Linked DNA regions of Oryctolagus cuniculus. The protein of the gene in region 2 interacts with the protein of the main gene of each other region in a biochemical or structural test. Links are inferred from orthologs where the notes say so. Each region holds a gene or a part of one and is shown on either strand. Other genes may lie near its edges.

Region 1 (4,084 bases), on a different chromosome or scaffold from region 2:
TTTTCCTTGTAGTAAGGAGGATTAGATGGAACAGATTAATTTGCCTTGCAAAATGGGCATAAACAGTGGAAATATCCCAGATCACTGGCACAAAAGCAGAGCAGTACACACTTTCTTGTAGTTACCTTCATTAAATGATGAGGTCTTAGGGTAGGAAGCTGTATAAAGACAAATAACCATGCTGCTCACTGTAAAAAATGTATACGTAGTTAGAGACTTTTCATATTCTTCCTATAGAAAGAAAGATCCCGATGGAATTACAAAAATTACATAGAGGACTCTAACGATGATTATTGACTTCTTCGTGGTTTATCTTCATGACAACACTATGAAGAAAAGCTGAATTAGATCTGAGACCAAGAGTATCACATACCAGTATACCAATTCTAGAAATAAATAGGAACTTGAAACCTTTCCTTGCTAATAGAACAAACCAAATTGCAAATAACTGTTTTTATCCATATTCAATCCTAAAGTTGTGGTTTGACCCTCCTCATAAGTTCCCTGGCTCTGTGACTAAGACATGAAAATGTTTAGGAAAATTCAAGAAACCACCCTGTGGATAAACTCACATACAATACAAAAACTAATCCACTTTTGGTTGCAATATATTAGCTAGATAGAATTTCTTTTAATTAATCCCATGAAGTTTGCCCTAACTCCAATGCTTCTGAAAAATACAAACACTAGGAACTTTATATCTGCAAGACAAACAGACTCAGAAGTTGTGGTGAATGGTGAACTAAATATTAGGCAACACTGCTTTGCAAATGCCAAAAATGATTTAGTGATATTATACTGAATTTAAATTATTTAGTGCCCAGAATAAGATTCTGCTCAGCTCTAGTTGGGAGATTCTAGAAATGATGCAGATGTCACTGCCAAGTACATTAAATTCTTAAGCAAGAATCAAGAACCCAAACTCAAATATCACAAAAAGTAATGTTACAACAAGATATTTAGGCTAAAGGAAGACCAGGCAAAGTAGAAGCAAGGGAAAATAAGTGCAGGGCAATCAGAAAAGGAACTAGCACAGTTTTAATTAGCCTTATATGAAAAACAATTACCAGTGGCAGAAAGGTACAGAAAAACAGATTCTGGTTGAAAACTAGCTTTCCATATTAGCTTTAAAGTCGGTAAGTATTGAGTAAGAGAAATAAAAAAATTTTATAAAATAGGAAGAAAGAATCCAAGGGGCTTAGTTACTCTGCTTAATTATATTTCCATAAGACCAGCTTCCAATTTTATATAACAAAAAGAAAGACACAAAATATAGGTAGTTCTGCAAGTCATATTTTATAAAGGATAATCTGTCAGTGGTGATTAAGCTACTGCAAAATTCCAGATGAGAAAAGTGATTAACTATTATAGATAGTGGCACTGGGAACAGAAAAAAGGATTTTAGAAACATTTTTAGATGGAGCACATGGGGCTTATGATTTCTACAGGGTCTTTTTCAATAACATTTACCATGCAAATCTAGCCATTCACCCAATAAAAATAACAGTAGTAGCAAATACATACTGCTTACTGTGTGTCAGACAATGCTCTAATTATTTTACAAATATATTTAGATGTTTTATCAATTAATTAATTTCATTCTCAAAAACTATATATTGTATTCTATAATCACCTCCAATTAACAGATGAGCAACTAAGGCACCAATGTCACTCAGTGGAAAAAAATACACCAAAGAACCAGTAAGCGGTTAGATAACAAGCTTTGTGCCTAGATAGTACAATTCCATGGTTAAAGCTCTTAATAAACTCAACAACTGCTAAAAAAAAAAAAGCCAACCAAGTCCAAGGCAGGCAGTGAGTAGCAATGTCAACAGCTCAGTCTAGGGAAGGAATATCTGGGGGAGGGGGGAGTACAGAAGGTGTAAGGATCTGACTGTATCAGAATCATGTAAGTTGTTAAAAACAAATTCGTATTGAATCCAAATCTCTAGAAATGAGAACTAGAAATCAGCATTCTAATTTTATACTAGCATAAAAAAGCAAAAACAAAAACAAAGCCTGGATAGTTTTGTAGCAGAACCAAGTTTGGAAACTCCTGTAACAGATCTCTAAAGCGTCTTCCTGCTTTAACAGTCTAGTTGACACTATATACTAATTTCTCAGAAATGAGGAAGGAATCCTGGCACCAGAACATCTGTGCATTTATTTAGAGTTCACATTGTTTTTTTTTGTTTTTTTAAGAATCGTTTTATTTAATAAATACAAATTCCATAGGTACAGCTTTTTGAATATAGCGGTCACATAGTTTACGTTCCCAATTTGGCTAAACGATCCTCCAAGGAACAAGGAGAGACCAGGTAATAGAAGGAAGAGTGTGTCCACGGAATGCTGGCTAAACAGCGGGTTTTATTCTAGGCTTCTCTAGCACCATGAGCAAAAAGAAATCTTTCCAGATTAGAAATACGTGTTGTAATCCGACCCGTCATCTAGCCAATGATGGATATCAATATATTCTTTCAACATTCCTAACCTCCTACGTTGGGGCCTGCCTACTCTGAGGCCAGGTGAATCCGGCGCAACAAAAAGAGGGTCTGCTCTGCAAAGGCACACCTCAAGTCCCCTACTCCCAAAGACAGCCCGCTCCGCACATACCTGAGGGTCCTCTAGTAAGATTGATTTCTTCCTCGGTGATTAAGTAATCCACTCTTCCGTTCATGTTTTACCGCTCCTATTCGGTTCAGCTGGGGCTCTGCCCAGGTGAAGGTGAATCAATCTCCGCGCTGCGGTCTAAGAACAGCACTTCCGGTTCGCGCAGCCTCCGGGCCGGAAGAGGAAGTGCGCCGCGCTCAGAGCGCTCGGAATGCTGGGAGTCGTGGTTCTCACAGCCGATCGGTTGTGTTCTCTCGTTGAGTGTTCCGAGAAAACTGTGAGGTCAGCAAGCCGCAAGTTATTGACCGGCGAAAGTACTTGGGAAAAGTAAGGTTGGGGTGGAGGGAGGCTAGTTAAGGTAGTGGACGTAAAGAAATTGATATTGCTGAGGAAAAATCTAAAAGGAATCTTGGCATCTCAAAATTTCCACAAATATAGAAAAGAAAATTTTGTTATTCTGTGAGCATCAAACTAGACTGGGATGGACGTTACAGGCAATCCATTGATGAGATTGCCAAAATGAAAAATCTCGTATAAGCCAAGTAGGTACAAACCATAACATGCTTGTCCTTACATAGAGGACTTGACAACACCATTTGTTATCCACTCTCTGATGGTTCACCTTTGGGGTGGCCTTCTGTGTTAGTTAATACAGGTTAGCAAAGGAAAAGTAATACTTTGCTCTCTGTATGACAAGCTGTTGCGTAAAGATTAGTGTAAACCACTTGGGTTAACTTCCATAGTAAGAGGAGATAGGAGCACTGTTTTCCCTGATATTAACATTGGGAAGAGATGGTTCCCAGGACCTTAAGTAAAAGATTCCTGGATTGTTGCTGACAAAAGCCTTATTTAATTTTAAGAAATTTAAGGGGCTGGTGCTGTGTCCTGATGGGTAAAGTGGCCGCCTGCAGTGTCCTCATTCTATATGGGCATTACTTCAAGTTCCAGCTCTCTGGTGTGGCCTGGGAAAGCAGTACCCAGTGGTACTGCACCTGTGTGGGAGACCTGGAAGAAGCTACTGGCTCCAGGCTTTGGATTGGCCCAGCTCTGGCTGTTGTGGACATTTGGGCAGTGAACCAGCGGATGGAAGACCTCTCACTCTCTCTGTGTAACTCTGCCTTTCAAATAAATAAATCTTTTATTTTTTAAAAGGAAGATATATATATATATACATAAACATTCAAATTTAAGGAATAGAGAGTGGGGCAAAGTCTACAAATTGATGCTACTGGGAAAAATAGGCTAAGGATGGAAGATTAGAGCAGTGATACACACTTAATTCTATATGTATTAGGCTAAGATGGAAGTGTACTTCATTCACAGTAAAGAACTAGAGATGGATGGTCAAAGGCTAATAGAGGAGCTCCTCAGTCACCAAGGAATCAGATTCCTTTCATCTTTCTATAACCCCTTCAGTTCTCATCCTTAGAGTGTGGCCTTTACTTCATGGCCCAAGATGGTTACGATGGTTTTT
Region 2 (3,500 bases):
TTAGAATAAGTTTGAACTCAACTCCTAAGTGAAAAGCTCAAGAAACATGAGGGAGACAGTAGTTGTAGCAAATGAAATTTTAAAATATAACCTATGAGTATACAAAAACCTAGTTGCCAAAAGATAAAACAAATCAAAGCTAAATATTAATTTATAAATATAAATGCATAAATTTAAAAATATTTAGAATCACACCTCAAATTGTAGATGAACAGTTAAATAACTAATTGAAAAGAATTACCTTTCACTATCCAATTTCATCTTTTATTACTACCTTTTCTTTCATACATTGACATTCTTTGACTTTTCTTGCTCTTACTATCTGTATTACTGTTCAATCAAAACCAGAGCATAAAACCAAAATTTCACTTATTTTTAAATCAGCCTTCAATCCCCCAAAACAAAGCTGTTGAAGTAATTATCATTCCAACAGCAAACATTTGCACTGAATAATGCACTCCCCGATCCAGATCTCCAGTGGAAAATGGCTCAGTACCCTTTTCACCACTGCCTGCAGTTCACATAAATGAAATACTGTTTTTAGTAATTTTTCACCACAAAAGGTAAGAATTCTTGATTTCAACTCATGAAGACAGTTTTGGACAAACATGACTCTCAAATTTCATCTCCCTTCCCCTCTGAATTTCTTCTATTTACCTTTCAGGATACCACATATCACCCGATGACCATTTCTGTTAGTAGAGGGGTTAATCAGAAATGCAGCTAAAACATAATTATAGAGGAATAATCCCTGGGAAACTCACAGACTTAAAAGTATATCCTAAAAACTAAATATATATCTAAATGACTGTTTTAATCTCTCAACAAAAGTAGAACTATTTTTTATGGGCTCAGTAAATGCATTTTTCTATCCGTTACAGCTAACCAATCACAATTTAAAGATAACAATTCAGGCTCCTAAAAGTAGACCCACAGTATCTACAATCCAGTGTATACAGCAACACTTTCTGGGTGCAAATGTCAGTCTTCAGCACCCACCGCAGTGGAAATCTTGTGGCCCAAACAGTTGAAGCGATCAGCCCAACATCTATGGGACTCTTTACAGAGAGAACATAGGCAGTCAATAACATGACCACTGTATTTTATTTCCAGTACAGAATAAAACAACTCAAACAATGTACATTAAATAAAATGTAGCTTTCTATAGGGACTCTGTGTTCTGATGTAATTCTGAATGTCAAGTTAAAATGTCTCTTGGGGTAAAGAACAAAGGCCTCCTCCACAAGAAAAAAAAGGGGGCATGGTGTAACAAAATCAATTTCTTCCAGATACATAATGAAGGAAACTTAAAATTAAATACTACAATTAGGTTTTATTCTCCAAGAGGATAGATTTTCCAACAGATACACTCTCTTTTAAAGTGGTTTTAAAAGTCCTTTCTTCCTTAAAATTGCCATTAAAAAGTAAAGACCTAACAATGTAGGGAAAGTGATTCTTTTCTAAAAATTCTCATTTCTTAGATTATTCAAAAATATCAAAGATAAATATAAGTATACCATGTTTATCTTACTTCTTTAAATATATTTTATCAACAGAATATATCATAACTCTTCATAATCTTTTTTTCTCCTTTAAAAAGGGGACAGTGATGAGAATTACTTAAGACTATCTTAACAAATAAAATGCATCCTTACCTATCATAGCAGTTGATATCATCCAGCCAACAACCTTGTTTCACTATTTCGATGGAACCAGAAATATTCTTCCAAGTAGCAAAACAATGCCGCCGTTTATCTTTGTCACCATAACAGGGTTCAACACCAGTTTGATTAGTTCTGTCTCTTTCCCAATTAGCGTTAAAGAAAAGACACTCCTGAGTTTCTGATCTACCAAGTATAGCACCTATAAGACAATAAAACAATGTATTATGTTAGCTCTTTTTTTTTTTTTAAGATTTATTTATTTATTTGAAAGCAAGAGTTAGAGAGAGAAGTCTTCCATCTGCTGGTTCCCTCCCCAAATAGCCGCAATGGCCAGAGCTACACTGAGCAGAAGCCAGGAGCTTCCTCCAGGTCTCCTACATGGGTGCAGGGGCCCAAGTACTCGGCCATCTTGTACTGCCTTCCCAGGCCATAGCAGAGAGCTGGATGGGAAGTGGAGCAGCTGGGTCTTGAACCGGTGCCCATATGTGATGCCAGAACTGCAGGTGGCGGCTTTATCCACTATGCCACAGCACTGGCCCCATATATTAGCTCTTAAATAAGAGTTTGTCTTCCAACATAGCAACTTCAGATGTTCCTAAAAATCTCATCTTCCCAGTGTTACAATTTTGGGTTTAGGTCTTCAGGTTAATCTCTTTATATTAAGTATGAAAATAATAATGGGAAGTGACCAAATATTTCCAAAGATTTCTCTGGACAATGCCAGTTTCACTTAAGAATGTCCTTGGCTGACTTACCTCAAATGGTAGAGTTAGAAACATACCAGGGGATTCCAATTCAATCCCATCAAGGTAGCATGTACCAATGCCATCTCACTAGTCCCAGTGATCAATTTCTGTTCACAATTGATCATAATGATAGGACTAAGAACCAAAGGGATCACATAAACAAGAATAGTGTCTGCAAATACTAGCTGAGAGAATAAAAAAGGGAGAGAATGATCCAACATGAGATGGCAGATGTCCTAAACAGCACTCTGGCCTCAGAATCAGCCCTTAAGGCATGTGGATCCGGCTGAAAAGCCCATGAGAGTATTTCAGGCATGGAAAGCCAAGACACTCGGGGGGGGTGGGGGGGAGGACCTAAATGAAAGATCTCCGCGAGTGAGATCCCAGTGGAAAGAACGGGTCATCAAAGAAGGAGGTACCTTTCTCTGAAGGGAGGAGAGAACCTCCACTTTGGCGATGGCCTTGTCTAAATATGATCAGAGTCAGTGAACTCAGGGGGCTTCCATAGCCTTGGCAGCTCATGACAAGAGCCTAGGGTGATTACTGAGGCCATAAACAAGAGTGTCAATTTGTTAAGTCAACAACAGGAGTCACTGTGCACTTACTCCTCATGTAGGATCTCTGTCCTTAGTGTGTTGTACATTGAGATTTAATGCTATAACTAGTACTCAAACAGTATTTTTCACTTTATGTTTCTGTGTAGGAGCAAACTGCTGAAATCTTTACTTAATGTATGCTAGGCTGATCTTCTGTATATAAAGAGAGTCGAAAGTGAGTCTTGATGTGAATGGAAGGGGAGAGGGAGTGGGGGGGGAGGGTTGCGGGTGGGAGGGACGTTATGTGGGGGAAGCCATTGTAATCCATGGGCTGTACTTTGGAAATTTATATTCATTAAATAAAAGTTAAAAAAAAAAAGAATGTCCTTGATGAAAAGCACAATTTGTTAATTTTATTAAGTCTCAACCCTTGAGTAGAGTTTTCAATATTCTGTATGACAAAAAAGGAAGTAAGCAAACATGATTCTCCTGCAGAGTGGAGTACAATGGCTGCTTCAAGAAGCAGCTTTTACATAACCACACTGTATACTCAA
Region 3 (4,298 bases), on a different chromosome or scaffold from region 2:
CCTGATGACTGGGACTTAAGGCATCTCATTGTCAAAAGGCACTGAACTGGTGAGGACCCTCACACGGGGACAAGGACTAAAGGCATTCATTGTCAGGCTTAGGGGAAGATGCTCTGGCATGGATTTACAGCAAAGAGCCTCGGAGGGGGACGTGAAAGTCAGCGTTACAAACCTCAGCGTCTACACTGTGTATAAATCCTTTGGAGTAGTAAATCCAAAGCACAGTGAAAACAGATTTTTTTTTTCCAGTATTCGTGGGGAAAAGATCTATTAGCCTCATGGCTTTGTCACATCAGGCAAAACGGGGCCTGTTTTTTAGATAAGTAATCACTTCCATTTTCCTCTTCCTGGGACTGCTGTTGGGGCATATAGGATTAAGCCTCTGCTTGTGATGCCGGCATCCCATATGGGTGCTGGTTCAAGCTGGACTGCTCCTCGTCCAATCCAGCTCCCTGCCAATGTGCCTGGGAAAGCAGCAGAAGAGGGCCCAAGTGCTTGGGTCCCTGCACCCATGTGGAAGACCGAGATGGAGCTCCTGGCTCCTGGCTTTGGCATGGCCCAGCCCTGGCCATTGCAGCCATTTGGAGGAATGGACCAGCCGGTGGACTCTCTCTCTCTCTCTCTTTCTCTCTCTGTAGCTCTGCCTTTAAAAAACCAATCCCTGCTTCCAGGGAGCTGACCCTCAGCCATCAGCCTGTGTCTACTACAACACAGCTCACTAACAGCGAGGGGAGAGAAGTGGTGTTTCTGAGCGCCTACCACGCACCAGCAGCAGCGAAGGGAGTGCTCTCCCAGAACCCTGTGGGCAGGTGTCGGTATCCAACAGACTGGGGCTGGGAAGGGGAGTCCAAGCCCCTCTGTGCCTCAACTTTCCTCATCTGTGAAATGGGGCTCATCCTGCCTGCCTCCCAGAGCCAGGGTGAGGCTCGGATAAAGCGGTGCCTCCAACCTCCTGGACATGGTCTCTGGCTCCCAGTGGACACTTAGTCAAGACTTCTGCATCCCACATGCCCTGCTGCCTCCCATACAGGCTCCCTCCACACACCAAAGCCTGCCTCCCTGGGCCCTCCGGGATCTTGTGTGCAGGGAAGCAGAGGGGAATGCTGGGATCCCAGGAGGGCTCCAAACACGGGACCCAGGGCCTGGGGAGCTGCAGAGTCTGTCTTTCTCAAAAGGGAGGCCAGCGTGTTACAAATCAGGCTCGTTCACGTGGAATCTGGATTTTTCTCTTTCGGACAATGGGGAAATCCAGCACTTTGGGCAGGCAGCCGTGACCGCAGCGAGCGGCCCTGACTCCTGTACATGCTCTCTTCCCCAGGCAGGTCTGGTCTGGCCTGGCCTGGCCTGGGTGCTGAGCTGCGAGCCCCTTAGATGTTTGCAAGGCTGAGATCCGGAAGGGGAGAGGCCTGTGCCCCCGCAGCCCTTCAGACAGGACTGCAGCAGTAAGAAGTGTCAGTGCCTTGGGGCTGGCGCTGTGGCGCAGTGGGTTAAAGCCCTGGCCTGTAGTGCTGACATCCCATATGGGCGCCGGTTCTAGTCCTGGCTGCTCCTCTTCCCATCCAGCTCTCTGCTATGGCCTGGGAAAGCAGTGGAAGATGGTCCAAGTGCTTAGGCCCCTGCACCCACGTGGGAGACCTGGAAGAAGCTCCTGGCTCCTGGCTTCAGCCTGACACACTCCTGACCATTGCGGGGCCATTTAGTGAATGAACCAGCACATGGAAGACATCTCTCTCTCTAACTCTGCCTCTCAAGCAAGTAAGTAAGTAAATAAATAAATAAAATATTTTTTAAAAAACTGACGTCTCTTCAAAACTTTCTTAGCAAAACTCATACTATGAAAAAGCTACATGGATTTCAAAATTTTTTTTGCACCAAAATGCACTTTTAAGTCCACTTTTCACAAGGGACTTTTTGAAACTCCGTGGTATGGTAGGGAGCTGGAGACTAACAAGTGTTCTGCTTCTGAGTAGGAGGGGATACCCAGGGGCCAGAGGGAGAGCAGAGGAAGGGCGGGGGGGGGAGGAGGGAAACCTGGCACCCCTGAGCACCTACTGTGTGCCATTGGCCCAGGGGCCAGGGAAGTGGACTCTGCACAGCAAGCGGGGGCGACTGCTGAGCCCTGGAATGAGCCTGGAGAAACCAACAGGCCACTTCTTCATTTCATTTCCCGGCAGCCTGAACGATGACCACCTGAAGCGTGGACCTGCGAGCTCAGTCAGCCCTGGAGACCCCGCCCCCCCGCGAAGCCCTCCCTACCTTCCACGCTGAAGCTGCGCACGATGTTGGAGGCGGGGGTGGAGGACTTGTCCGAGGTGTACCTGTTGTACAGGTCGATCATGTACTGCGGCGGCTCCGCCCTGGTCCTGTCCTGGGAGGGCACCCCGCTCAGGTTGAGGCTGCGCAGGAAATCCATCTTCATGTTCTCCAGGAACACCTGCAGATCCAGCGCGCCCTGCGGCGGCCCCACTCGGGGCTCCCCCTGCGAGGCGCGGCTGTTCCCCGCGCCAGAGGCCCGTCCCCAGCTCTGCAGAGGCTTTCCCTGCCCGGAGCAGGACAGCAGCGACAGCACGGGCAGGGCCACCCACAGCGACCCGGGGCCCATCTTGGAGGAGACCATGGGGCTTTAGCGCGCGCAGGGAGCGGCCTGGGAGGAGCGCGCCCGCATCGTCATCCCGCTGACTCCGCTAGGAGTACTGCCGCCAGCCCCGCGGGCCCGGACTCCATCCGCTTGTTCTTATCTGGCCCCACGAAGCTGCGAGGGGAGCTGTTATCGGCAGGGACCCTCGGTTAATGAAGGTTCTGTAAACATGTGGCAAAGCGCAGGGCCTGTGGGAAGGACACGGCCTCCCGGGAAGAATCCCCTCGACCGGTCGGTCGTCGCCCCTAATTAGGGTCCTGGCTGGTTTCCCGGACAGCTCCATTCAGGGGACACTCCAGCCCCTGGGCTTCAGGAACAAAGAAGCCAGGAAATAAGGCCCAGAAGCCCTCCAAATATAGCAATGACCGCAGTGGACACCCCAAGTTCAGGGCAAATCGGTGTGCGCCTGCTCGGTTGGGAATGGGAACCTGCCACGTGGCCGCACCGCGCCCCTGTGTCTGTCCAATGAGCTGCCTGCCCAGCACTGCCATTCCCATGTCACATAATGTGGCCAGGAGGACCTCGGGGTCAGGGTGGATGGGGGTTCCAACGCCAGCCCCCACGAATGGAACCTGGAGCAGCTTTGACTTTGGTTCTCAGCGCCTCCTGCTCGGAGGGGAATTGTGATGATGGAAGATGGTCAACAGGAGCAGCCACAGGCATGGGTGTCTCTGTTCTGGGTGCCTCCTCCCCACCTCTGGGCCTCCTGAGCTGGAGCTGGGGGAAGAAGCTCCTTGTTCTCTCCCTACCCTCCAGCTCTGCAGTAGCCCTGCAAACACACTGCAGCCTGCCAGCCCCTGGGAGCTCCCAGACCAGCTCTGTCTCTGGTCTGCATGTGTGTGTGTGTGTTGGGGGGGTGGGCAGCCTGCTTCACATCCATCAGCCAGCAGAGCTATGCGGAGTCTGGGCAGGCAGAGAAGGTGGGACGCTCTGAGATGGCTCCCTGGCCAGAGGAGGCTGACAAGCTGCATCCCAGTTGATGTGGCCCGAGGGACCCCAGGGACTGTGTCATTACAGTTTCTGTCTATGTCCATCACAAGAGGCTTTGGTGCAAAGCAAAGAAAGAGCACAGTTCAAAGCACTTGGCAGGTGTGCCTGGTGGTCCACGCTGGGGAGAATTTGAAGCTGACATTGATCCAGGCTGGTGGGGCTCCTGGGGGAGGACACAGAGAGATGCAGGAGGGGCCCAGCAGGCTGTGGTCACAGATCCCAGTGGGGGGAAGGGAGAGACCAGAAACCCTGAATGGCCACACCCGGACGGAACTTGCTGTCCTCATCCAGCTGCTCGGGGGCGGGCAGGAAATGGCTCTGGGCATTGGTCCAGCCCAAGGCAAGAGGAGGGGGGAAAAAGATCCAAGTGGGTGCCAAGCTTGGGAAATGGAGCTGCCCCCTGCCGAGTGTGGCATGGTGCAGGGAGCTTCGGAGGGCAGTAAGTGGCCCCCAGCGTGCTCCAGTCCCAGAGGCCAACGGGACGTTTTCACACGGGAGTGGCTGAGCCGCGTGGTGGCAGGGAGCCCGCTGGATGTGCTCAGGGTGGTACAAGGGTCAGTTAACTGTTGATTTTTTAAAAATGTGACGGGGCAGGCATTTGGTGTTGTGTTCAGTATACTAGTTAGACCTAGTGTAGCCCATGTCATGTAGCCCATGTCAGAGATCCTGA
Region 4 (4,162 bases), on a different chromosome or scaffold from region 2:
TGTTGATCCTCAGATCTTCAGAAAACACTTTACTTCAAAATGTGCTGGAACACGTGCTACCAGCTCCCAGCTCCCTTCACTGTGACAGCTGGGATGAGAAGTAGCTTGTGTGATGGGACCTGCCTTTGGGACTTCTTCTCATTATCACCCATCGTTCTTGAAAACGTCCCACTGAGAGAAAATTGTTTTCGTCAAGGAAAAGGGAACATCAGTCAGTGCAAGTGGCTGTTCTGTGATCTGTAACTCCACTCTTTTCTAGAATTCGCAGGAATGCATTCTGTATTTAGAGCTATTAAGCCAAAGGCACATTTAAAAGAACAAAAGAATGGAAATGTAGCATGTAGTTGACTAACGGTGCTAAGAAGTTAGGTGCAACAGAGCTCCATAGCTGCCCTAAGACATTTCAAATCCACTAAATGCCTTCCTGATGAAACCAGCAGAAATATCCTACCTTAGGAAAACCACATCCAGGATCATAAAAGAAAAAAAAAATCACATTTCAATGCATGTGAAGGAAGACAGGCAGCTGCTGCAAAAGGTTTTATCTGAAGGCTTGCTTTGTCTCTACTCTGAGCCTATCTCAGATTTAAGCACGAGACAAGAAAGTCATTGTGGAAACAATAAGATTGATTGTGGAATTGATCTCCCACGGGGATTAGATAGGGATTCGAAATCTTCCAACGCAGGCCCAGATCCACTGTAAATTAGGAAGACTTGGGGGCCCTGGGCTTTGATTTTTCAAGACTATCTGAGAATTCCGCCCTTGCCTCAGTCTAGCTTGAAACCCTGGCTTAAGCTGGAGACACAGATTTATGGAGCAAGGGCTTCCAAACAGACTTCAAGAAATCCCAAACCTCCTCCTTCTCCCACTGCGGAATTCCTGCACGCTTAGCTGACCAGGGGCATGCCTTTTAGCCTCGTCTTCCCCATCCCTTGATTCCGCTCTGGTTCCTGGAGGAGGAGTCGCCCTCCTGGCTGCGTGCCAGGAAACGGGTACGGACCGACCAAGGGGGAATCCCTGGCTGGCCCGCCACACGAGCAGTGCCTGAAAATCAGATTCAGAAAGGTCGGTACGGAAGCAAGAGGGACAGCATCCGCAGAGCTCTGGCTGAACTGCCTCTCCAGGGATGCCCGCAGCCGGCCTTGGTGCTCGGCGTTGCGGGTAGCAACCCGCCCGCGTCTCTGCCCCTGCGGCGCGCGCCTCGCCTTACCTTCGTGGTGGAAGCTGCGCACCGTGTTGGCGCGGCTGGCTGCCCTCTCCAGCCGGTGGTCCGGGGCGGGCGCGCCAGGCTGGCCGGAGTGCCGGCGGTACAAGTCCAGCATGTAGGGGGGCACCACGGCGTCCCTGCTAGGGGTGGGTCTCTGCTTCAGACCGAACATGCTGAGCAACCGCAACTCGAACTCGCTCAGGATGTCGTCCGAGGGCTGGGGCGAGGGGCGGCCCGATGACGCCGCGAACTTCCTGCGGCCCAGCTCGGGGATGAGGCCGGCCGCGCCGCCCAGGAGGACCTGGGGAAGCAGCAACGCTAGAAGACAGCGGGTCCCGGCCACCATGGTCGACCTGCGGACAGGGCCGACGTGAGTCACCCGAGTTCCCCGCCCAGTCCTCTCCCTTCCCGCCCCCGCGGCCTGGGCTCCCGCTGCGCTCGCTCGCCTCCTCCTCCAGGGCGCCCTCCTGCCTTGCAGCACTTGCTGGCTATGTCAGAGCGGCCACAGCTCTAACGTTTGGGGTGGGGTGGGGGAATGGAGGGCCCCAAGTTCCTGACCCAGAGCACTTTTCTCTCTCCCACCCCAGCCTGGGCCCGTCTGATACTTGATTTGGGGGTTGGCCTTATCCCTCGCTCCCTCCCCACTGAACTTAAGTGGTTGTCACTCCCCCCTCCCATACACACACACACACACACACACACACACACACACACACACACACACCAGAGCTGGCAGCCATGCAGGGAGTCTGGGGGATCACCGCTTGATCTGACACCCTGCCGCGCCTAGCCAAACTCAGAGCGCTCCCTTGCCTATAAACGCGCGCGCATGTGACTTCCTGAGAACCGGGGCACGGAACTTCCTGAGCCACAGTTCACCACTTCCAGACCCTGCAAACTCAGGGCCACGACTTCTGAAGCCGCTTGGCGGTGGCTGCCCGCTGGGTGTCGGGACGCCCCGCTCCACGCCCGCCCGCGAGCCCCCGGTGCGGTCGCGTACGCAGGTACCTTCCCGGCGTTACATAAAGGGCCGATCTCCACGCGCGCACGTGCCAGCGGGGAAACCCACGGCGCGAGCGGGACCCTGGCCCTCTAGCGCTTCTAGCAACCGGCGGAGAGAACCCCTAACGCCCAGCGCTTTCCTACGGGGGACGGGGCTCTGATGGAGAGCGCGGGTCTCCCCCAGAATCTTGATGAAGACAGCGCCGTGCCACGGCGTACAGGTTGGCAGCTAACGGGTGAAACCCAGGGGCCATCCTCTCCAAGGCAGCTCTTTGACTTTTTAATTTTTTAAAAAAATCATCTAAGTGTTAACAGCCTTAATAATATATCGAGGAAGAGCGGAGGAGGGGCGGAAGCGTGCGGGCGCGGGGAAAGGGGGCGCCCCCGCCGGGCTGGGCTGCACGTGGCCCCGGAGAGGGGTCTGTTTACGTCCTGCCCGGCCGCGCCCCGGAGGGGGGTCCGCCGCCGCCGCCGCCGCCGCGCGAGCCCAGCGCCCGCCCCGCACCCCGGGGCCCGCGCGTCCCGTACCTTTAGGAGACCGCAGTCCGTCTAAGAAGCCCGCGGGGACACGTCCATTGAAAGAGCCTCCACATGGAAAAAGCTCTGGCCCAGGGACCTGGCGCGGGGACCGGGCGTCCGCTCCCTTCCCGTGGCCTCCGGCTTCTCCTCCCGGCGCCGGCCGCCGAGTCCCTCTCCTCGCGCAGGGCGCGGCGTCCCGGGCTCGGCCCGGCAGAGGGCTGCAGCGCGGCGGGGCTCGGAGGCAGCGAGGCGGCTCCGCCGGGGCGCGGGCACCGGCGCGAAGCGGGGAGCAGCGCAAGTTAAGGCTGCAAGTTCAAGAAGTCTCCAGCCAAGTGCTGACACACAACAACAGCGAGCAGGGGGAGGAGTGCGGGCCGGGGAAGGGAAGGGAAGGCAGAGAGGAAAGGCTGCTGCTGTCGTCGTCCTCAGGCACCAGCGCCCGCGGGACGCGTGGCCGCGCGCGGGGCCGCCTGCGGGACTCCGGGGGGCGAGGGTCGGGCGCTCAGCGCTAGCTCCGCCGCGGCCCATGGCTCGGGGCAGCCATCCTGGGCGACGCCGGGTCCGGGGAAGGGCACAGCGGCGATCTCGATGCCCGGCGAGCTGCCCCCCCGCATCACTCTGCCTGCCGCCAGCGCACCCCCATCAGCGCTGGCCAGTGGAAACAGCCGCGGCTCCGGCGCCCCGTCGTCCTCGGGCGCATTCTCCGCGAGCCCAGCCGAGTCCCGGGCCGCCGAAGCGGGTGGCCGCGCTCTGCCCTCGCTGCTGTCCTAGCCCTCGGGCCAAGTGCCCTTTGTGGCCGGCTTGGGGTCCGATCACACCTCGGCTGGCACGTCTCGAGCCCCCGATCCCCGGCAGGAGGTGCTCGGCATCGCGGCGCTCGGGCTTGGCTCCGCACTCTCCGGCGCTCCGCGCGCCCGTCCGCGGCTCCGGCGCGGCCCGGGCAGCCGAGGCCACCGAGCTGTGGCGCGCAACGGCCGGGTGCTCCAACCCGCGAGGGGTCTGCGGTGCGCGGGTGCCTCGCAGCGCCCAGTAATCCGCGCGGCGCTCGCCTCGAGGGCGCTCGGGTCGCCGGCGGCGGCTGATGTCCGGCGGCGGCTGCCAATCCCCGGCGGGGTGTGGGAACCGGAGCGGCGGGCGCAGCGCGAGCCGGGCGCAGCGCGGCGGGGCGAGGACTCCGGCGGCGACGGCGGCGGCGGCGGCGCCGTGGCGCGGCGCTCGCGGCTTTTAAAGGGGACGCCGCCTGCTGGCTCCCTCCCGGCCCCGGCCGAACACCTCCCCCTCGGCGGCACTGCTCGCCGGGGATCCCCGAGCGGGCGGGAGCGGCGCTCAGGGGTGTGGACGGCGCGCCGGGGGCAGCCGCAGCGGGGTGGGGCCAAGGGCGGGGGCGCGCGGCCGCCGAGGGGGGCGCTGGCGCTTCCACCCCCCTGCCCTAG

What was found. The genes of interacting proteins can lie anywhere in the genome.
Region 1: the proteins of ACVR2A (region 2) and SYNJ2BP form a complex in vitro, tested with the Homo sapiens proteins (2 studies listed by BioGRID and IntAct, with this or other methods). The link is inferred for Oryctolagus cuniculus from reciprocal best matches to the Homo sapiens genes ACVR2A and SYNJ2BP.
Region 3: the proteins of ACVR2A (region 2) and GDF2 form a complex in vitro, tested with the Homo sapiens proteins (2 studies listed by BioGRID). The link is inferred for Oryctolagus cuniculus from reciprocal best matches to the Homo sapiens genes ACVR2A and GDF2.
Region 4: the proteins of ACVR2A (region 2) and BMP2 form a complex in vitro, tested with the Homo sapiens proteins (3 studies listed by BioGRID and IntAct, with this or other methods). The link is inferred for Oryctolagus cuniculus from reciprocal best matches to the Homo sapiens genes ACVR2A and BMP2.

The regions. Positions count from the first base shown.
Region 1 is NC_091451.1:16,186,463-16,190,546, forward strand, and holds the start of SYNJ2BP (synaptojanin-2-binding protein), read right to left. Parts: upstream 2,801-4,084; 5' UTR 2,678-2,800; coding exon 2,614-2,677; intron 1-2,613. UniProt on the Homo sapiens protein: Regulates endocytosis of activin type 2 receptor kinases through the Ral/RALBP1-dependent pathway and may be involved in suppression of activin-induced signal transduction.
Region 2 is NC_091434.1:94,321,550-94,325,049, forward strand, and holds part of ACVR2A (activin receptor type-2A), read right to left. Parts: intron 1,864-3,500; coding exon 1,656-1,863; intron 1-1,655. UniProt on the Homo sapiens protein: On ligand binding, forms a receptor complex consisting of two type II and two type I transmembrane serine/threonine kinases.
Region 3 is NC_091446.1:80,860,042-80,864,339, forward strand, and holds the start of GDF2 (growth/differentiation factor 2), read right to left. Parts: upstream 2,801-4,298; 5' UTR 2,618-2,800; coding exon 2,257-2,617; intron 1-2,256. UniProt on the Homo sapiens protein: Potent circulating inhibitor of angiogenesis. Signals through the type I activin receptor ACVRL1 but not other Alks. Signaling through SMAD1 in endothelial cells requires TGF-beta coreceptor endoglin/ENG.
Region 4 is NC_091442.1:31,668,136-31,672,297, reverse strand, and holds the start of BMP2 (bone morphogenetic protein 2 precursor), read right to left. Parts: upstream 2,801-4,162; 5' UTR 2,739-2,800; intron 1,562-2,738; 5' UTR 1,555-1,561; coding exon 1,212-1,554; intron 1-1,211. UniProt on the Homo sapiens protein: Growth factor of the TGF-beta superfamily that plays essential roles in many developmental processes, including cardiogenesis, neurogenesis, and osteogenesis. Induces cartilage and bone formation.